Linked DNA regions of Caenorhabditis elegans. The protein of the gene in region 3 purifies or fractionates together with the protein of the main gene of each other region. This does not show direct contact. Each region holds a gene or a part of one and is shown on either strand. Other genes may lie near its edges. The genes, in order: R05H5.3, suox-1, trd-1 and F41G3.6.

Region 1 (3,886 bases), on a different chromosome or scaffold from region 3:
AAAAAAAATACAGTTCTCGTGTTTTTTTTTCCATTTTTCTTTTAGGGGGGTATTCTTGAATTTCAGAATTAAAACAATTATTCATTAATGCTTCTACAGAAAATATAATCTATACCTCGTATTTTCATAGTATAGGTTTGCTGTAAGGGCGCGGTGGATTACTGTAGGGTTACTGTGAATATATTTTAAAGGAGTCAATTTGAAATGAATTCTGTAGGAGAGAAGTTCGCGTATAACTCAGATTTCACACATTTTTGACGCCGAAAATTTGAACTACAATAGAGTGTATAAATAATTGTTCTTGTGGTTAAATAGTTGCTAGTAACTTAGATAGAAATCGTATAATTACAGATTTACAGAATAATTCTTTCAGGCCCACCACGTCGTCATCCCTTTCTTGGCAGTCTCCAAGTGTGATTTGTTAGTGAATCCCGTGAAAAACCGTATCTTTCAAAATATCGGCGTTTTCGGTATTTCTTGCCCAATGCTCACAATTCTTGGAATAACTGCTGAACGCCTTCTGGCTCTGATCTTTGCTCGTTGCTACGAAAATGTTAAGCTTCATATTGGAGTGTTTATCGGTGTTTTTGCAGTGAGTAGCGTTATTATTTTTTATTATTAAAATTAAAATAAATAGTTCAGATGCTTTGCGACATGGCACTTGTCTATTTCTTCTTCCTCGATGAGAAATTCGATCAACCGTCCATCTCATACTTTATGGTTCCTGATACTTCCGGTTATAAAGTGAGTTTTCCCAGGGAATTTGGAAATTTCACCTAGGCGGCATTAAAACATAAAACCATAAATTTCAGATGAATTGGTTATGCTATTCCTTACTTGCTATTAATAGTGTAAATTTAGTTTTCAATTATTTTTTGGTAAAGATCAACACTATTTTGAAAGAAAAGTAAGATCAGATTTAAATTATTTTAAATGCAAACACTGAAAATTTCAGATGGCGTAATTCTTTATCAACTCGTTATCAAATGGAAGAGAACATTATAACCACGAAATTCTCCACTTTTATCTCATTTATTCATGTATTCTTCTTCTCGCTCTATCTCATTTTCACCCTAATTATTCGTCTTCTAGGACCAGGATTTTTGAAAACACAAGCCGATTTGATGTCGGTCAGAGGTGTTTACATCGTGAGAATATGGTGTTCGACAAATCATGACTAAATTACATTTTTTTCAGACTATTCCCACGTATAATTTGATTATTGGTATTGCTTCATGCGTCATTCTACGGCATTTGCAAAGACAAAAAGTTGCAAAAGTTTATGCGGAAGTTACATTGAAGTATTCTGGAATTGACGGGGCTCAGATTCATCAAGAGGCTATTTTAAATGTTTGGAAGACTAAGTCATCAGGACGGAAGTGACTGATTTATAATTGAAAAAATATATTACACGACAATAATATTTATGTTTAAATCGATGTTGTGCACAAAGGTGTGCGCCTTTAAGAAGTACAGTAACCCATCCCAGTTTTTTCGCAACTTTCGTCAACTTTTATACTTTTTTATCTGAAAAATTGTTTTATTATAGAAACGAAATTGCAGTACATGAAAAAAAGTTTTTTTAACTACGAAAAACGTTTAAAAAACAGTATTATGGGTTACTGTACTTCTATGGCACAATCAATAAATATTGCGTTGATTCTTTTTCTAAACTTTGTTCGAGCGAGAACAATTATTGTGCTTTTTTCATTGAAAAAAATTTACTCTTTATTAAAAAAAAATAATATTTCGAATGTAATCTTGCTTTATTTGAGAGTCAATAGTTCCGTAAGATCAACAAATTCATGAGTTCTCTTTGCAAGCGCGCTCTGTGGAGCGGCGCCAGAAATTGAATTCGCCGCGAAAAAGAAGCGCTAGAACGGAAATTCGAAAATTTTCTTCTCATTTCCTCTCATTTTATCGAGTTTCTTCGCTTTTTTTTTCATTTTTTGCTGCGTTGGCTAACTCCAAGAGCTTTCTCCACAGATACCCCGGTTTTTAAAGTCTTATATTTAGCAAATTGTGAGCTTTTGAAGTTGTTTGATGCGAAAACTCTTCGAATTTTATTGCAGAATTTATAGCTTATAGTTAACCTTCATTTTGTTCGCATTTCTTCCGCCGGTGCCATTTTACCATTTCAATTTATGAATACTTCTAGCTTTTATTTTTCAGAAATGTCCGAATTGCTCGCTGGAACCAAGTTGATCAACCAAGACAGCGAAGAGCTCGATGCTGGCGAGCACCTCAAGGGAAAGGTAAAACATTTCTTTTTTTTTTGAAGAAAAAATGGCAAAATTAATATTTCCAGGTCGTCGGACTCTACTTCTCGGCCAGTTGGTGTCCACCATGCCGTCAATTCACTCCAAAGCTCACTCGATTCTTCGACGAGATTCGCAAGAAGCATCCAGAATTCGAGGTTGTTTTCGTGTCTCGCGATCGTGAAGACGGTGATCTCCGTGAATACTTCCTTGAGCACATGGGCGCCTGGACTGCAATTCCATTTGGAACTCCAAGAATTCAGTTAGTTTCAGCTAAAATCGAATTTTAAATGTATACAAATAATTATTTTCAGAGAGCTTCTTGAACAATACGAAGTGAAGACGATCCCATCAATGCGCATTGTCAAGCCAAACGGAGATGTCGTTGTTCAGGACGCTCGCACCGAGATTCAGGACAAAGGAAATGATCCAGAAGCTCTCTGGGAAGAGTGGCTCGCTTTCTACGATTAAATTTTCTCCACCAACGTAACACCAAAAAATTTCAAGTTTCCTTTCACTCTAATTTATCAATTGTCACAATTTCTCACCATAATTTCAAATATTGCGGCTAATTTCGTACATTTCCCATAAAAACTTTCGCAGCCAAAGATTTATTTACATTTACAGTCTAGATTTATTCGGATCCACAGACTTCGTGGTTGGCTCTGACGACACGGACAATTTCGATTTTTCCACACTTGTAGGTGGTGCCGAAGTAGTGATGGAGTTTTCCGTTTTCTTCTTGAACTCTTCCAGCTTTTCCTTCAACTCTTCAGCGGTTGGTCGTTTTTCAGCATCTACTTGCCAGCACTCGCTCATGATTTCCACCATTCTACTCGGCATTGATGGTGGTGGAGGGAGGCGATATCCGGCTCGGGTTTTGCGCTGAAAAATTCAATACACATCTAGATCCTTTTTGGCAGTATTTACCTTGACTTGAGCAGCTTTCATCTCAACATATGGCGACTTGAATGGGGTCTCGAAAAACTCCCACATCATGATTCCAAACGCGTAGACGTCAGTGTTGAAACGCGTTTCCCCGTTGTCCCAAACCTCGGGAGCCAGCCATCGGATGTTGCATGGCTTTTTAAGATCAACTTTGTAGACGGATTGGGCTCGGCACATTCCAAAGTCAGCCATCTTGACGACTCCCTTGTGAATGAGGCAGTTTCGCGACGCGATATCACGATGGATACAGTTCTTTTTGTGCAGGTAATCCATGCCACAAGCAGCCATGTAGGTGTACTTGACGCGTGTCGGAACTTTTATTTTCTGGAAAAATTAATTTTCTTTCAGCTAAATTGGAAACACCCTCACCTCTCCCTTATCTCTCAGCCGATCCTCAACAGCTCCACCATTACAGTACTCCAGCACGAGAAGATACGGAAGATCGTCCAAGATGAAGCCGTGAAATTTGACGATGTTCGGATGGTCATAGAGCTGCATCACTCGGGCTTCTTTCATCATTTCAGCTAAACCATCCTCGTCGGCTCCCTCTGGATCGAGCTTCTTCACTGCAATGACTTCATCCGTCTTCACGAGTTTTCCACGATACACCGTTCCATAGGCGCCTGCTCCGATCTGTTAAAAAATATAATTCAATTTAGAAAGAAACATAGAACTAAATC
Region 2 (5,831 bases), on a different chromosome or scaffold from region 3:
TTGATACGAGCACCACCGGAGGGATTAAACCACTGTTTATCACTGATTGGGATGGAACTATGAAGGATTATTGCTCACAGTATGCAACAAATTTGCAGGTTTGTGTCTTAAAATGAGCTGAAAAAGTTAAATTGTGTAAACTCAAATGGACATTTGAAAATACATTTGTTCAAACTGAAAATAAATTTTAAACGGCAAATTTTTTCTGGAGAAAACATAACTTCGAAAAAAAAAGTAAAACCGAAATAAATTACATTTCAGCCGGCCTACAGCGCTATCGTAATGGGTGTCTTCTCTCGTCTCTTCACCCGAGCATTTGCCGTCCTAACCGCAGGGCCTCTCCGCCATCCTGGAATCCTAGACCTCACCGCACTCCCCATCAACGGGCCGGTATTATTCAGTGGATCTTGGGGACGCGAATGGTGGCTTGGCGGCCGACGAATAGTGCATGATGATGGAATTCCTGAGGAAGGAAGTGTTGCAATTGGGCAGCTCTGTGAACAACTGGATGAGATACTTCATGAAGGGGAATTTGTGCAATTCGCGTTGGTTGGAAGTGGTGTACAGAGGAAAGTCGATCGTCTTACCCTAGGAGTTCAAACGGTTTTCAAGCAAGTTCCAGAAGACCTCTCAGCTAGATACATTGATGCAGTTCGTGAACGAATCCATCGAGTTGATCCCAACAGTCAATATTTAGTATTAGAAAATTGTTCACCGTTAGAAATTGAAGTATGCGTTCATTCGTCAGGTAATGCTCAATTTTGAAATTTATGATGATGATTTTCGAATTACAGGAGCTGTTTGGAACAAGGGAGATGGAGTTGCTGCTTTAGTGGAATCACTCCACGACTCGTTGAAGGTTGGAAAAGTTTGTGTCGCAGGGGACACCGCGAGTGATGTTCCGATGTTGAAAAAAGCAGCAGACGAGAATCCAGAGGTAAGATTTTGAATTGAGATAGTATGTCAATTGAACCACTATTAGCATACTTTTGAATATTTTTCGCTATCAATAAAACAACAGTGGACAACATCATACATATTAAGAAATCATAAGATCGCGAGAATGCCTACCGTTTTGGCGCGGGAATATCTCGTTGCGAAGGCACCTAAACCACTGGTCATCGCATGTTCTCTGTGCTATCGCTATTTTTGCGAAGTAGGCATTTTCATGAACTGATAGCTTCTTAATAGCTTGCACGTGGTGTCATAATGTCCCAATTCGGTTTGATCTACTTAGATCTACGAAAAACGCGGGTTTTAAGACGCAGAGTTCTCAACTCTGATTTTACATTGTTTAGAACATGATGACGTCACATTTTTTGGCAAAAAAAAATCCCGCACTTTTTAGTAGATAAAATTGTGATGGGAGAGCCTGACTCCACGTGAGCCGCGTGAGCTGGAATAACCTCGTAGACACGCTAGTAAACATTTCTCTTATTAAATTAAACTTGTATTTGAAATAATGCTAAAATGCTAAACACATCAGATAAATTTCTTGAAAACTTATTTTTTCCAGAACGTTCGAGCCTTGTTTGTCAATATCAACAAGCAGCTTCAAGAGAACATCACAAATATTGTTGGAGACGCCAAACGAGTCTGCTTCATCTCTTCACCAGATGTTGCTCACGCTGCGTTCGCCCAAATTATTTCAGAGTTCTCTGGATGAAAAATGAAATTGGATTGTTTCCCAACCATTAACTATTAAATATTAGAGTGGTAGAGAGGTAGAGAACAACGACAACTTGTTGTTTCTCAAATGTTCAACCACCCATCGTAACTTGCAATCAATGACCGCTGGTCAATGGTCAGCAAAGGCGACGAAACCTGTCTCTCTCTCTCGTTTTCTCTACGACCTCTGCTCTCTCTCACTGTTCCTCTTCTCAGTTTCTGCCACGTGACGTTTTTTTTTTCTGATATTCCATTTTTCGTTCTTCCCTCAAACTTCAATTGATTAGAACTGTAAAAATACCAAATAATTCAGTTATTGTTTTATAGAAATCGGTTTTATTAGCATGTTTTTATTGTACCCTCATTCACCAAAAATTCCTCATATTCGAATAATTGTTTAATAAAACTAGTCGGGTTTTGCTTTCTTTTTCCCCCCTGATTCAGTCCACTTTTCAATGTGTTTGTGAACTTCGTAGTTTTTTTTGTTTCAATTTTTTTTCAAAATTCAATTTCTAAAAAAGATATTTTATTTTTCAAAGTATTGTTTGTTTTTCGGCAATCTTGATATTTTAAACTAATAAGTTTCAAAGATTTTGCAAATTTTTTCAGAATGCTTGGCCGGGGCACATCTTTCAATCGGTTTTTTAGACACCGGCGTCAGTTCAACAAACTTTCGGGCGCCACTTCAGAACATCAGAGGACTAATGAAAATCACTCTTATTGTAGGGATCTACCACGAAAACTTGAAAATCTATTAACTAATGTTTAGACAAGTATGCATATATTGGAGGAGCCGCAACTGCTGGAGTGCTCGGATTCAAACACTTTGTGAAAACTGCAAAGCTTGATCACGCCAAAGATGAGACGATGTCAGAGAAGAAATTGGAGAATCTTCAGATATACAAGCAGGAGGAGGTCAAGAAACATGGAAAAGACGCAGACAGGATTTGGGTTACGTACAAAGATGTAAGTTGATTATTTTCAATTAGGACTCTTATGTCGTCCCCGAAAACACCCCTCTCACGCCACAATCCGAAACCTTTATAGCGATGCGCGGAACCCAAAAAGCGTCGGACGTGGAGTCAACTTTGCTACAAATAGTGTCATACTCTATGCCACTGTTTGGTGCAAACTCCGCGTCCGACATTTTGTGGGTTCCGCGCATCGCTTTGAAAATTTGAATTGCGGCGTGAAAGCGGCACCCACATGGGAGCCCTAATTTCAATTATTCAACTGTCCAGTTTTGGCTGACTGGACAAAATGTAGTTTTGTGACTTGGTTACAGGTTTTTAAGGACTTTTTTCGAACGCTTAGAACATTTCAAACTACATATATGCGTATTTCCAAATTGATGCTTGTTTATAAACTGGAATTAATAGTTTTCTTATTTTTACAGGGTGTCTATGATGTCACAGATTTCATTGCCATGCATCCGGGAGGTGACAAAATTCTGCTTGCCGCCGGTGCAGCTGTCGACCCATTTTGGGCTCTCTACTCACAGCACAAGACAAAAGAGGTTCTCGAGATTCTCGAAGGATATCGAATTGGCAAACTTGATGTAAAAGATGTTCCGAAAGTAAGTTCATGGAGTAGAAAAGAGGTGGCATACAATCCTTTATTGTGTGATTTATGAAATTCTGGTAACAAATTTTTTTGTTTAGATTGATTTTGAAGATTTAAGTAATGTGAGTTTGGTTGATTTTAATTAGGGTCCGGGTACAAACGCACCCAAAATATTGATCAATTTATCCTCTTATCTCACCTATGTTTGTGTTTGTTTTACAGCCAGTCGCTGACGCATTCTCCAATGATCCGGAACGTCATCCAGCTTTACTCGTGCGTAACTCGAAGCCCTTCAATGCCGAAACCCCTCCTTCCCTGCTTACCGACCACTTCTACACACCCAATGAACTGTTCTTTGTACGAAATCATCTTCCGGTTCCTGATGTATGTGAAAAGGGGTTGTGTGTGTAGTGAAGTTTTACGCTGGATTTTTTTTTAGATCAAAACTGAAAACCATCGATTGACTGTGGAAACCATCAAAGGAAAAACAGTGGATTTGTCTGTAGAGGAGCTCAAGAAGAAGTACAAGTCATATACAATTGGAAGTGTGATTCAATGTGCTGGAAATAGAAGAGCCGATATGAATCAGTATAAGAAAGTTCAAGGACTGATGTGGGAAGGAACTGCAATCAGTAATGCCGAATGGACTGGAGTTCGCTTGAGAGTAAATTTGAATTTTAAAATATGAGATATTAATTAATAAAATTCAAGGATCTTCTCGCTGACGCAGGAATCGACGTTTTCGACGACAAGATCAAGCACGTCCACTTTGAAGGAGCAGATGTTGATCCGACTGGAACACCCTACGGAGCATCAATTCCCATTGAAAAGGCTCGTGGAGATGAAGTCATTGTCGCTTATCACATGAATGGAGTTGATATTCCGAGGGATCACGGAGCTCCTCTGCGGGTCATTGTGCCAGGTACAACGGTTTTAACATACTTTTATTTAAAAAATTTTTTCTGATAATCGTTAATAAAAGAAGTCATTCAGGTAATGTTGGTGCTCGACAAGTGAAATGGCTCAGAAAAATTATTGTTAGTGAGAAGGAAAGTGATAGTCATTGGCAGCAAAAAGATTATAGGTTAGTAATAAATCTCCAGAACCTACAAACCATCCAATTTCAGAGCATTCTCCCCAGCTGTCAACATTGGTGACGAGCTGAAGTGGAACACAGTTCCATCTATCCAAGAGTATCCTGTTCAATGTGCAATCTGTAGTCCGGCTCCAAATACCAAAGTTGATCGTGGTGACGAAACTGTGGACATCTCTGGATATGCGTGGAGCGGTGGTGGCCGTGGAATCATCCGAATCGAGGTTAGCGTCGATGGTGGCGAGACGTGGAACAGTGTCGAGATGGAGCAAGAAGAGAAGCAGGATCAGGAGCACATGTACGCATGGACATTGTTCAAGGCAGAAGTGAAAATTCCTCCGGGAGTCAAGGAGTTCAATATTATTGCGAAAGCAGTAGACAGAGCCTATAACACGCAACCAGAGACTGCCAGTGGTATTTGGAATGTTCGTGGTTTGATTCATAATGCCTGGCATAGAGTTCCCATTATTGTGAAGGATTAAGATTTTTTTTTAAATTCCGTTCAGATCTCGTAGTTTTCTTTTCCCCTAGATTTTTTCTTGCTTCAATTCAAAATTTGGCCAGTTGAATCTTTAATTTGAACCAGTATTGTCTTGCCCCTACCCCCGTTTGATTTAATTGCAACAAGTTACGAAGTTTTTAGATCAACTGTGATAGTATGAATAAATGTTTTATGACAAAATATTTTTTAAAGGTTTAATTACGAATGATGTAGGAAAGGACAATGGCACGTTGAAAGTTACACAATACTATTACTCAAAATTAATCATGTCATTGATGGCTGGACACTGGAATCTATCCCTGGTTGTGATGAATGATCCGGAGACAAATGTTGGTCTTGCCATGTTTTCCCAGCTCTGGCGGGAATCTTTTGATTCAAATTCGAATGGCTCCCCGTTGGATTTCAAGCAGTTCATGTTCATGTTTCCAACATTCAACACATTGTAAAACTCCTCATCAACTCCATTTCCCCAGTCCTTGACGTTGCTGTACATATCCGAAATTTGCATTCTCTTTCCATCCATACCATGTCTGAAATATGATTGTAAAATTGGATGCATTTTGTTTCGATAATCTCACCGTTCTGAGAAGTAGGCTCTCAACGTACTATTAGAAATTGCTGATTTGCAAACTTCTACATCAGAAGCTGGGTAGTAATAAATATAGTTGACGCACATCTCATCCACAATTCGATATCCACCAAACGTCACTTTTGATCGTTTTCTGGTATCGTAGACGCATGTGGTGACCAGTGTGTCTCCTGGCATAACCTTAACCACTGGTCGAAGCTGTTGCAGATGCTGCCAATGAGGGGAGTAGTGTTCATCTCGGTTCACGTCTCCAATGCGAACTCCAGATCGATATTGAGATGTGAACAGTTTTCTGCCGGTTAGATGAGCGTGCAGTTGACTGGCGAAAATGTTGATTCCCTCCTCGGGAAGCTGGAAATTTCGATTTTACAGTTGAATCTGGTATGGATTTTGAGAGATGTGCGGATTTTTTAAGT
Region 3 (7,873 bases):
CTAAAACTTGCGATCAAATCTCCGCAAAAATCATGGCAGTGGGCCCTGCGATGAGCGAAACTTTTTAGCTACAGTGCCCGCTCTGCGAGTATTTAACACTTTGTCTGCAGTTCACCATTCTCTTTGCTTTATCCATTTTCTAAAATTTAAAACTGCAATTTGAACAGAAAATTGCGAAAATGAAAATAAAAATCTACCATATTCCAGTGTACGGTAGCTGGAAAGTTTGGCTCGTGCCAAGACCCAAAGCCGTGATTCAAAGTTAAAAATCACAATTTTTCGCAAGCAGGTAATAATTTAATAAAATCAGGAAAGAAAAATTGTCAGTTTTTCTTTTCAAAAAATTTCAAGAAAATAATTTTTTCTGAAAAACTCTCGATCGCTCTTTCAAAATGGTAATTTGCTTTGTTTTTCTTCGTTTTTCTCATTTCTACTGACCAATTTTCAAGTAAAAAGCCGCTCCGGTGCCATTTTCTTCAGTCTCCCCGCGAAAAAAATCAGGGTATGTGTAGTTTTCAATGTATCTATCAATTTTCATTTGAATTACTAAAAAAAAATTTAAATGAATTAAATTACTTGAAACAGAACAAGAAAAACAAAACAATAACAACTGAATTAAGATTAGAACAAAAACAAAATAAACAACATCGTTCACTGGGAGAAAATCAAAGATTAACAGGGAATATTTTTATTAAATTTTGAATTTTTGGAGATTCAAATTGCCACACTATCCAGAAGACTTTTGGCAACTTCTACGATCTCCTGAAGTTTCTCCGTCTCATCACCAGACACGCGGCTTCCTGAATCCTTATCAAGACGAGTAAGAATGCCACGAAGAGATAAACGAACTTTAGCGGATGCCTGTAAAAATGAATTTAGATACATAACGGAAACATGATCTATTTTACTTCTTTCACAGACGTATCCGATGCGATGAACTTTGCCAACTCTAGACGATCTTCGGCTAATCGTACAGCAGTTTCAACAACTTCCAACGCCAATTTCTCTTCTTTTGGCCACGTCAGTTTTCCATTTGCTGCAGCTAGACTCTTCTCCAGTAATCGCACATACTTTTCAAATTCGGTTCGAGTTTCCGATGATAAAACAGATGGCTTCTTGAGAAGAGCGTAGACACGGAGAGTCTGAAATTTAATTTAATTTTTTTTTTTTTAGAAAGTTTTAAATTTTCGATAAAAAATTACTTTTGGGGATAAAGTTTGATGATTCGCTGAGATTCTGGCCAACAACTTGATCATTTCTTCTTTTTCCTTCCGATTTTCTGCTTCATTTTGAGCTTTATCCTCGCTCTCATCCATTGAAATTTCAGCTTCTCTTCTTAAAAGTGTTTGAGCAATTAATTCCAAAACTTCATCGTCAGCTCCTCGTTTATTCATATCCAAAAGACGATGATAGGCTTGAATTGCTTGAGAAAATTCTCCAACATCTACTGATAAAAGCATATAGTTCTCCCATACATTCGGATGTTCGTAGTTGTATTTAAGAGCTTCTTGTAGAAGTTTCCATGCTTTTGGCTTCTGTCCATGTCGAATGTAGGCAGCTGATAGATTATTCCAAGCTTCGAAATGATCAGGTTGAAGGGATACACATCTATGGTAACATTGAGTGGATTCTTTAAAATTTTCAAGTTTCCATGCACAGTAGCCAGCATTGAACCAGGTTCCTAATTGAATTGGCTGAAAAAAAAGTTGTATAAAAATATAATTAGTTTTATCAGTAACCTGTAATTCCAGACTTCTTCTTAAATGTTTATAGGCCTCCTCAAACTTTTTATCCATTAGAAGGAGATGTCCAAGTGATCGATGAGCCCTTGCATTCCGATCATCAGATAATTCGATAGCTTTTGTGAAATACTCCAAATTTCTTGTGATATCTCCCAAGTATACATGAAGCATAGAGTCATTTGGTTTCTGCTCAATTAAACGGCGGATAAGAGTTTCAGCCTTGTCCATTTGTCCGAGTTGCTTGTAGCAGTCAATAACCCCGTCCCACATTTCAAGCTTTTCCAGAATGAGCAAAGCTTCAGAAGTACATCCAAGAGAATTGAGAATACCAGCCAGAAGAACAGAAGATTGCCAAAATGGAGTGAGACCAGATGCGAGGATATATGACGTGCGGAGAAGACGATCTAAAATTTTGAAATATTTTTTCGATGATTTCTTGATTGTAACTATCGTGGAAATATATGATCGAAATTTTTTTAACTCTATAAAAATATAAAACTTGCAAAACTTCTCATTATTGTAAAACACTTTTTTTTTGTTTTCAAAAAAAAATTATTTTTCGAGCTCTACCCTTTTTTTAACTTCTCCATTGAATATAAAAGTTCAGTAATCACCTTTAATAAGAACTGGATCATCAACTCCTTGTTGTAACTTTACCACCAATTCAGATTGTGTACATGAACGATCCACTTGTCTCACTCGACCTCTTTCAAGTTCTGCACGAGCCAAAAGAGCAGCTGCCTGAATACTCCAATATCTTCTTGCTGCAATTACAGTATCCAACACTGGTGAACATCGTTCGTGAACTAATACATCATGACGATGAGTTGCTGATTCATGTCGAGCAATCCATAACAGACACGAAAGTTGGCATGCATTCAGTGTTCTTCCATCAACTCTTGCTCCTTGTTCAGTAATAGCAACTTGTTCAAGAAGAGTATCATCATTCATATCCAAACTCTGCGGAATATCAGAATCTGGAGGAAGAGGTGTTCCAGTAGTTGATGGATCCTTATGAATCAAAACTAGTTGTGCAATATCTCTCTGTTGGAACCGTGTTCGTTTTCCCATCATTCCACTCAAATCCATGTTTAGTTGACATTCTTCACTTGCACTTTTAATCAGGTTATCTGCTTTGTCGTATTCATAAAATTGAAACCGTACAGCTGCCATCTCGAGTTGTATCTGACATCGATCTTCTGAAGTGAATGCATCATTTTCTTCGGCAATCAAAACTCTAAGCTTCTCCATCTGAAAAATATTAGTTTCTAAACTGAATAAAAATTTTCTCATAAATTTCAAGTATTTTCGAGTTTTTAAAAACGCTCATTCATCAAAAAGATGAGTGAAAAGCACTTTATTTTGCCATCTAGCATGCTAATGATAGTTTCGGCTGTCTTCGGAGGTATCGGAATCATCACTACAATCGTGTTCGTGATTCTGACAGTTCTTCATTCAAAAAGTGCGGTTTGTAAACCTGCAGGCAAAGAAGACATGAAGAAAGAAGAAACTGAACGGTATCGAAGGAATGCAAACAATCAAAGAAGAATGTGGAGGATCAACTGAAACATCCTCGTCGAAACCGTAGAAAAAAGCCAAGAAAGAAGTCTGATTTTTTTTTGAATAAATTTTAAATTTTTTTCAAAAAAAAAAAAAAAAAAAAAAAAAGTATAACCTTTTTATCCACATTTATATATTTTTTAACTTACAATTGGTTCAATTTCAGTGCGAATAGTTTCCTCTGGATCAATGAGAAGCTGTTGCCAAACTAGGTAGAACTCAAGTATAACACGATATCCAATTGGAGGTATATCAGAAAGATCTTTCAATTTTTCCACGTGTTCATGTGCCAAGTGTAGTGCCCATAAGGACTTTGACACAGCATTTGGTATATTCAGACCACATGATAATTTTTGGCGAGCGAGTTCTTCTGATATGAACGAGGATGTGTTATAATCTGAAAATAGCTTGAAAATTTTCTGTTCTTTTGAAACTTGAGAAAATCCAAATTCAAAAATAATGAGTGGTTTTTTTCAGTCCTTCTGATTTTTTGGTGCCAGGTTTCTTCAGGATGCCTACAATTTTTGACGATTTGCTACAGTTACGACTTTTAGTTGATTTTTTGTGAAAAATTCAAAAATAGATTTATTTTGATCCTCATCCCTAGAGGAATCCTATCTCATTATTGCAAAACCGCCTAACCTAAAATCAATGCGTCGTGGAAGGGGTAGAGAATCGAACCAAACCGTCGATTCCCACTAGACGAAGCCCTCATCCACCCAACCATCGCCGCCGACTCGTTTCGCTGTCGTTGGCTCCACATAGCACGAGAAGTTCTCCAGTTTCAACACACTTTTCGCATGCATGTGCTTGCTTTTTCCCCCGTTTTTTTTTCGTTTCGTCTTTGCTTTTTTCTCTTCGTTTTCCTTATTCTCCAGAGCACATGCACACACGAAGTAACACAACAGAGACAGAGGCTCCGGGCGCCGAGCGCCGAGCCCATACACCGACCGGCGCCTGGAGAGCACAGAGAAGCCAGCCTGTTGCACTTCTTTTTTGCAGCTTCTGGCTCACAGAGCACATCGAACCTTATACTATTATTTCTACTGTACGATTTTTGAATTAAAAAAAATAAGTTTTGTAATTGAATTTTTTTTCCAAACTTCTATCTCGTTTTAATATTTTTAGGGTGTTAAAATATTCATTCTTACCAGAATATCCAACATGATTACTGGCAAGAACATGAGTCACAAGTGATTCCACGAATTCCCAAATGTTGTCCTGATACTCAGAAGTGATCTGAAAAAATTGAATTCATTCGGATACTATGAATCTTTATATTTTCAAAAAACTGTTTGCGCAAAAGTGAGCGATCTTATAACCATGTGTTTTTTTTTTGTATTTTGACGAAAAATTAGTTTTTGGAAAAAAATCCAAAAAAAACTATTCTACATTTTTCGCGGATATTCTTTAGCAACATGTGATGTTTATGGTTCTAGTGTTGTTTTTTTTAATTTGAAACTTTGAGACCCGAAGAACTCGGGGGATGTCCAATTGGGGGGATTAGCAACTCGGGGGATTGGCCCCGCCCACAGAACCGTGGCTTGCAATACGCCCATTTCTGCAACTGCCGCACGGTTTTAAAACTGTATTTTTCTCAATAGAGCGAGAATTAACAAGAAAAATAATTTTAAAACCGTGCGGCAGTTGCAAAAATGGGCGTATTGCAAGCCACGGTTCTGTGGGCGGGGCCAATCCCCCGAGTTGGTAATCCCCCCAGTTGGACATCCCTCGAGTTCTTCGGGTCTCGAAACTTTTGCTCAAGTTTTTGAGTTGTTACGGATTCAAAATAAATTAAAATCGACTTTCTTTCTGGTTTTCTTGTGTTTTCACTAATTTCAATTTCTCTTTCGGAGTTTTTTCACTAAACCTTTAAAATTTCAGTTTGTTTGTTTTTTTTAAATTTTCCTAGTCTTTTGGCAAAAAAATTTTGGAGAAATTCTACTAAATTCGAAACTTAATTACTTTTTTAAAAACAGAATTGACAGTGAGATCGAAATCCGAGTTTTGTCGGGTTAAGAAATATTCTTTTATATCTGAAAATGTAGAAACCAATGAAATACCTTTTCAATATCTTTTTCATTTACTAATCCAGCAATTGATGCAATAATATCAGCTGGAATCATCTAAAACGATAAATTTCAATCTGAAATGTTATAAATTTGAAATATGAATAAATATATTACAGAAATTATCAGAAATTCAATTTCGTAGATTGAACAACAACTATTTTAATACTTTATTCTCAATAATACGGGAGAAATTTGAAAAACAAGAGGAAAGTTGAAAAGAACATTGATAATGTCACTTCTTCAAAAAAAAATAACATCAACAAAATTATACAAGGTACGGGGAGAAATGGTGAGCAGTAATTAATCGAAAGCTTATTGAATTCGAAACGATTTTATCGGATTGGTAGACTGAAGAAAGTGGTTCTAAAGTGCATAGATGTCTAAAATGAAGCTACTTTACCTGTATTATACGAGATCCGGGTTTAGGGATAAGGGAAGGCTTAAAATGAAACAAAAATTTGAAAATAAAGAAGAATGAAAACAATTTTAATAAAAGAAAGTTATTTTTTGAATCCCTTCAAGATTGGATAAATCTGCCCGAATGCTTCGTCAATGTCCCTCTTTGTTTTTGCTCCAGTGATAACAACCTGAAAATTTAACATAGAAAAGGTTATTTCATAACTTAAACTCACTTTTCCAGACACAAAAATAAGGAGCACAACTCTTGGTTTGACCATACGATAAATTAATCCAGGGAACAATTCTGGTTCGTAAGTACTGAACTGAGAGTGAGTAATGCACAATCCTTCAAGTTGAATCGGAAAACGAACATCACAAGAACCAACCATGTTTTGAACCTACAAAAAAATTATTCAAATGATTTTGTGACCTTTTTCCAGAAACACTTACCATAAATTCGGTAAATTTCGCCTGAAATCCCAACTTTTGAACAATTCTCGCATATTTTCGTGCTGCCAATCGACTTGCTTCTTCTGACTTCGCACCAGTGCACACCATTTTTCCACTCGAAAAAATTAAAGCAGTTGTTCTTGGTTCACGAATTCTCATAATGACTGCTGCGAAACGTTTTGGATTGTATTCGGCGTTTCTCGCGTGCAATGCAATCTTCTTCAAATCCAATTGAACTCCCAAATTGACTGTAGAGACAATGTTCTGAAGAGCTGGCATCGGAATATCCAATTGACTTGCTGGAGTTGCTGGAACCATTGTGGCAGCGATGTTACTTGCCGGAGCCTGATGTGTCAGAGCATCTCGATCATATACAGAATATGCAAGTGGTGTCATTGGAACTGTCAAATTCTGATATGCAACTGATGGAGGATTGATGTCCAAATTGTGATGCATAACTGATCCAGGATTACGATCAGGTCCGACTGAAGCTGGATTTATGTTCAAGTTGAGATTGGAGTTGGCGAGATGTGAATGCATTTGCATTGAAGAACCTTGAAGGCCTGAAATAATATAAATCTTTAATTTTGACAAACGGCTTTAAGACTGAAAAAAGGTTATAAAGTTGAAAGACTGGTCACGGCTAAAATAAACGTGCACAGAGAGTTCATCAGATTTTTTCATAAATTTTTTAAACTGTACAATATTAAAATTTCGAAAAAAAAACGTATTAATTTCGCTTAAATCTGAAATTTCGCTAACTTTTCCTTGTCGCATCAGTTAGGATACAGTTTTTTTTAATTAGTGTATTTTATTGAACAATTTATAATTTTATAATTTAGTTGTTTATCTCGCTTCACATCGTCGATTCAGTCCCATTTATGATCGACATGCCAATTATGTTCATTTTTAGACGCCTAACGACATAAAAATTTGCCGAAATTAACGAAAAACTAACAAAATATTCTATAAAGGGTGATAATTCAAAAAATCTGTAATTCAGCTGCTGTGATAGAAGTCTCGGGATTCAGCAAAATTCTGATTTCTTGTTAATTTACTTTTTGTCATGCCATAAAAAATAGTGAAAATTTTATGAGCAGTCTCTTTAAAAAAAATTAGTTAATTTTGGGCTAGTTTTATCCTTTTCAAGCAAAAACCCTGAAATGAGTTTTCCACAAATAACTTACTGTGCATTTGTTGTGATTGCATTGGTTGAATTGATTGTGGATTGAGAACACTTCCAGGTCCAAGAATCGAGTTTGGTCCCATTACAGAGTTGGGACCGTGTCCCGTGAGAATTGATGAGGGTCCTTGACCTCCAAGTACGGAATTCGGTCCACCATGTGCAGGGGTGTCACCGCCAAGCATTGATACAGCTGGGCTGTTAAGGTTCATTGTGAACTGTAAAAATATTTTTAATCAAAAAAAGAAAAATGGATAAGAAATTGGAACAAGATATTTAATTTAAATATGATTTCAGTGAATAAAACACTGGAATAATTATTTTAAAAGAAAAACAACAGTACTATTTTGAAAATTTAAAATATAAAAACGAGAAAACGGAAAAACAACAACAAAAGTGGAACAACAATAACTGTAACAAAAAATCTGATTAAATTTTCCATAAAGTTGGAACATCGATGATTGGAA
Region 4 (4,247 bases), on a different chromosome or scaffold from region 3:
GGAATTTTGGAGGAATTTCAAATAGAGATTCTAACTAAAACTTTTAAAAAAATCGAGTTTTTTTGAGTTTGGATTTTTAAGACTATTCATGGTGCATCGAAGAAACATCCACATTTATGCTCCTCCACAATTTATAGTAGTCTCTTGTTTTCAGAAAAATCCTTGAACTGTCTGGAAGATATCCGATTCTTGTAAGCGTCATTGTATTTTCAGTGAATGGAACGTATAATTTTTCTTGTTTTTTGTATTTTAAAATAACTGTTCATCGAAAACAACTATCACCCACCTTAAATTACAGATTGTATCGATGGTATAAAAAGAATATCCCGAGAGCTATTTTGTTCATTTACATTTCTTTTCTTGCCCAAAAACAAATGTAAATTAATTTTCAGATAATGAAGCTTCTTCCTCTCATTGTGGTTTTTGCTCTTTTGGCAGTCATATCAGAATCATATTCTGGAAATGACTTCCAACCTCGTGACAATAAACATCATTCCTATCGTGTGAGTCATTCTGAATAAGTTGCATTTTTGTAAATGAATAATTTCAGTCATGTGGGGAATCGTTGAGCCGACGAGTTGCATTTCTGTGTAATGGTGGAGCTATTCAAACAGAAATACTAAGAGCTCTGGATTGTTGTTCCACTGGTTGTACGGACAAACAGATCTTTTCTTGGTGTGATTTTCGTAAGTTAACAAGGAAGGAGAAACAGAATTATTCAGGTTTAATTTTCAGAAATTTGAACAGGACACAAATAGTTTCTTTTCTACTTTGCCATGTTGAATAAAAACATTGTTTCATAACATTTTCCCATTCTTTCATTAACATTGGCTAGCCCACTCAGAATTCAGAACTTTTCACAGAAATTTATTTCAAATTGGCAATAGCAGTAAAATGCGCAATGATAACTGGCAAAATAGTCATGGGATTATGAGTGAATGGATGAAAAGGATACCGTTCAAAATATAGCACACGAAATGATTGAAAGCCGGATGGGAGAAATAAGTACATAAATAATATGAAATTAGTGCCCTATCTTTTAAGATTGAACACCTCATTGACCAAATTGCTGAGCTCATCTTTCTGGTGCAATTCTGGAACTTGTTCGTGCGCGTCAGACGTCAAATCGAGAATGATCATTTTCACTTGCTTGCAGTACATTTGATCGCCCAGCTACAAAAAATATTATTGTTGATCAAGAATTTAAGTTATAATATACCTTAAACTCTGGAAGATTAGCGACAACTTCAGATCTCTGGCATAAACACATCAGAATTTCAACTGTCAGTCTCATTACAAGTGGCTCATCCTCTGTGATGCTCCACAGCGTGCGAACAGCGTCCGCCATTGTTGCAATGTCGTCTGGAGCGAAAATACAAAAACTTTAATGATGAATTCTTAACATTATATCTTACTTGAAAGTTGGAAGAAAATTGCAGCGAGAGCATCGATTAAATCATAACGTGATCCCGACGAATAGATACGACGAACAAATTTCTGGGCATCTGGAGATGCGGCGACTTCGTCAGAATCACTGAAGACGCGAAGAATAGCTGAAATTAGTTTTGATTTTGGAAATCTACAAGTGATAAAACAATATTACCAAACAGGACATTGGCTCTCTCATCGATTGAAAGTTGGTCCAGGGAGCATTGTGAGAGATATCGTAGCAAAAGACAGGTCTGTGTGATTCCGACACCTGTGTTCCAGTCGCCACCTCGAGGATCAGTTGGGAGAGTGGGTCTGTAACTTAGAAACTGCGAAGTTTATACTTAAATTATTCTTACTTGTCGCGAATGGAAACCGCCTCTCCTCGTGGGACCAGTTGTGATGGATGGCACCGAATTGCTGTTCCGAGCCAGGCAATAATATCATCATGTGTCACTTCTAGAGACAGCTCTCCGGCAAGTCGAACCATCGTTGTGTACATAGCTGAGAATGTATTTTTTAACTTAATTTCAATGAAATAATATTACCAATTGCAAGATCATTATCCGGGTGACAGAGAAGCCACATTCCGACGTGACTATCGGAATCAAGTTCGAGATTTGCTTCTTTTCTCTTCTTGTGTTCTTCGTCTCGAGCTTGTTGATAAACCATGATGTCCCTGCTCTCTGTGAAGAGTCCCTCTGCAATAAAAAAACTTTGAATCTAAAAACTTCATATCAAACGCACTGTTTCTATTGAAAGTTCCAAAGTATCGCATTTCGATCTGAAATGGAGAATTAAAATTTGAAAAAAATGCCAAAAAATGAGATACGATTCGATCGAACGAATTGGTGGATCCAAACAATATGAAAATCGATCGAGAAACAACAATTTATAACAGAAAACATATTTAAACGAGCAACAAAATTAAATAATCAAACAACGTTTTGAAGAGACTCCACGAATTTGTGTCGGCGTTCGGCGGTAATTTGACACATTTTCTGAATATGAATTAAGTTAGTGATCGTAAAACTACATAACAATAAAATACCTTTAAAAGGGAGAAAGAAGAAAACTGTCCTCGTTCACGAACCATAACCATGTGATCATCTTTTCCAACAATTACAGAACAAGTTGCTCGACACACTGATATTGCTTCTAATGTTGGAGACAAGAGGAGAACTTCAGACTTTTTGTCTGAATTAACGTCAACGAAAATACCGAATGAACAGCACATCAAAGGTTCTTCGAGCGTCAATCGATGCATTGTTCGGTAATCTGCTTGAATTTGTGTTTTTTCAATTGTCGATTCGTCGCCCTCGGAATGGTTTAATACAATCGACGGGAGCTTTGCATCTACAAGAGCGGCACCGAGAGCGCACTGAAAAATTTTAAAATTATGTTTAAAAAAACAAAATCTTTTGTAAATACCACAGCTGCATCCAAAAAGTTTCCCTCGAGACTGAGCACTTTAACAATGATATGAAGTTGCCATTCCAGAGGCAAAGGTTTGCCACAGACATCCAAACATCGCAAATTTTCGCGTCGAACGAAACAATTATTTGTGAATAACGAAAGCAAGACACTGTTGCAGTCCTCTGCGTCTTTCTATAATTTATATGAATACAAGTAAATAAATGTTCAGTAGCTAACCTCTGATAGCTGCTGAGAACCTTCAATTTTGATATCCACCAGGGGTGCATCACTAACGAGTGAAACTGAAGCTTGAATTGAACACGAAACAGTCACTCCTTGGGTACTGACGACAGATGAACCAACACCGCCACATTCTCCTTGCTGAAAAATTGAAAAGTTTACATAGAATTGAATCGTGAGAAAAATTACCTTAAAAACAAGTTTTTGTTCATCAAGAAGACCACGTCCGTCAGGATAGACTCCTTCTTTGATAAAAGTTGCAAAGTATCCACGTGGATCAATGCCTCGAAGTACTTCTGATGACATTGTTGATTAGCCAATTCTTCTTATTTTACCGGCAAAATCAACGCGCTGCAAAAAACAAATTCTTTATAAGAAATAAAGTTAGGTGTGCACTAGGGCGAGTTTGCTTGGGAGACCTCGCAACAATTTTCGCAGACACCGGAGAATTGAATCCACAAAATCTCCGATCGTAGAACGGCAAAAAATAAGAGTTTCTTTTTTCTTGGAGAAATATATGGTGAAAACTCAACGCTTTTTATTTTTATTCAACACACCATCTAATTATTATTAATTTTATTGTTCAAGAACGAGCAAAAAAGAAAGTTAACAACAAAAACAACAACTTTAACAAGGGAAGTTTATTTAATTTTTATCAAATCTGACTTGTTCGGCAAATTTAGCAATCATAAGCGCCGCCGTGACGTGCACATTCAAACTTCGAGTATGCCCAACTTGTTTGATTTCCACAGTTTGATCAACTGCGCGTAGTAGATTCACCGGAACTCCTTCTTTTTCATCGCCCATAACAATCACAGCCTGAAAATAAAACATTATTTATTCGTTTTTCTTAAAATACAGCTTAATACCTTCTTTGGGAATACAAAATCATGCATCATCACACTATCAGTCGTCTGTTCAGCTGCGATCACTGTGTATCCGTTGGCTCGAAGATTTTGAAGATATGGGAGCAAGTTTGTTCGTTTAACCCCTTCGATTTTCTGCCAATTCTCTGAGCTCATGCTCAATGCTTTGAAGTTCGCATCCTGGGCGACGAGAACATCGGCAACGACAAGTGTGTCAACTCCAAAAATTTCAGACGTTCTACAGATTCCACCAAGGTTGTTCGGTTTATCCACTAAAGAAGCCACAACAATCAGTGA

What was found.
Region 1: the proteins of trd-1 (region 3) and R05H5.3 fractionate together in Caenorhabditis elegans (co-fractionation; one large-scale study listed by BioGRID). This does not show direct contact.
Region 2: the proteins of trd-1 (region 3) and suox-1 fractionate together in Caenorhabditis elegans (co-fractionation; one large-scale study listed by BioGRID). This does not show direct contact.
Region 4: the proteins of trd-1 (region 3) and F41G3.6 fractionate together in Caenorhabditis elegans (co-fractionation; one large-scale study listed by BioGRID). This does not show direct contact.

What each region holds. Positions count from the first base shown.
Region 1 is NC_003280.10:10,195,453-10,199,338, forward strand, and holds R05H5.3 (protein-disulfide reductase), read left to right. Parts: upstream 1-2,172; 5' UTR 2,173-2,174; coding exon 2,175-2,255; intron 2,256-2,308; coding exon 2,309-2,520; intron 2,521-2,572; coding exon 2,573-2,729; 3' UTR 2,730-2,866; downstream 2,867-3,886. Other genes in the region: srb-6 (Serpentine receptor class beta-6), read left to right, coding at 374-592, 643-744, 813-907, 956-1,148, 1,198-1,383; R05H5.4 (Tyrosine-protein kinase), read right to left, coding at 2,880-3,143, 3,189-3,530, 3,576-3,839.
Region 2 is NC_003284.9:15,495,278-15,501,108, forward strand, and holds suox-1 (sulfite oxidase), read left to right. Parts: upstream 1-2,277; 5' UTR 2,278-2,278; coding exon 2,279-2,390; intron 2,391-2,437; coding exon 2,438-2,634; intron 2,635-3,064; coding exon 3,065-3,244; intron 3,245-3,329; coding exon of another isoform or gene 3,330-3,377; exon of another isoform or gene 3,378-3,453; coding exon 3,454-3,615; intron 3,616-3,670; coding exon 3,671-3,895; intron 3,896-3,942; coding exon 3,943-4,153; intron 4,154-4,224; coding exon 4,225-4,315; intron 4,316-4,358; coding exon 4,359-4,806; 3' UTR 4,807-5,002; downstream 5,003-5,831. Other genes in the region: gob-1 (Trehalose-phosphatase), read left to right, coding at 1-98, 262-748, 795-937, 1,517-1,666; tbh-1 (Tyramine beta-hydroxylase), read right to left, coding at 5,077-5,356, 5,405-5,766.
Region 3 is NC_003281.10:7,383,784-7,391,656, reverse strand, and holds trd-1 (Tetratricopeptide repeat-containing protein trd-1), read right to left. Parts: upstream 5,429-7,873; coding exon 5,366-5,428; intron 4,542-5,365; coding exon 4,454-4,541; intron 4,037-4,453; exon of another isoform or gene 3,946-4,036; intron 3,700-3,945; coding exon 3,452-3,699; intron 2,994-3,451; coding exon 2,357-2,993; intron 2,147-2,356; coding exon 1,740-2,146; intron 1,695-1,739; coding exon 1,203-1,694; intron 1,143-1,202; coding exon 909-1,142; intron 862-908; coding exon 715-861; 3' UTR 522-714; downstream 1-521. Other genes in the region: tbp-1 (TATA-box-binding protein), read right to left, coding at 5,875-5,961, 6,007-6,171, 6,224-6,786, 7,411-7,618; T20B12.3 (nucleolar complex associated 4), read right to left, coding at 7,836-7,873. UniProt on the Caenorhabditis elegans protein: Developmental protein required for cell fate determination in both the germline and seam cells of the developing epidermis.
Region 4 is NC_003280.10:6,740,879-6,745,125, reverse strand, and holds F41G3.6 (DUF2013 domain-containing protein), read right to left. Parts: upstream 2,213-4,247; 5' UTR 2,207-2,212; coding exon 2,176-2,206; intron 2,130-2,175; coding exon 1,977-2,129; intron 1,933-1,976; coding exon 1,788-1,932; intron 1,744-1,787; coding exon 1,604-1,743; intron 1,554-1,603; coding exon 1,416-1,553; intron 1,363-1,415; coding exon 1,220-1,362; intron 1,174-1,219; coding exon 1,033-1,173; 3' UTR 859-1,032; downstream 1-858. Other genes in the region: ins-15 (INSulin related), read left to right, coding at 396-503, 551-787; exos-8 (Ribosomal RNA-processing protein 43), read right to left, coding at 2,364-2,429, 2,480-2,809, 2,860-3,036, 3,082-3,225, 3,274-3,390; T14B4.1 (tRNA/rRNA methyltransferase SpoU type domain-containing protein), read right to left, coding at 3,730-3,903, 3,954-4,247.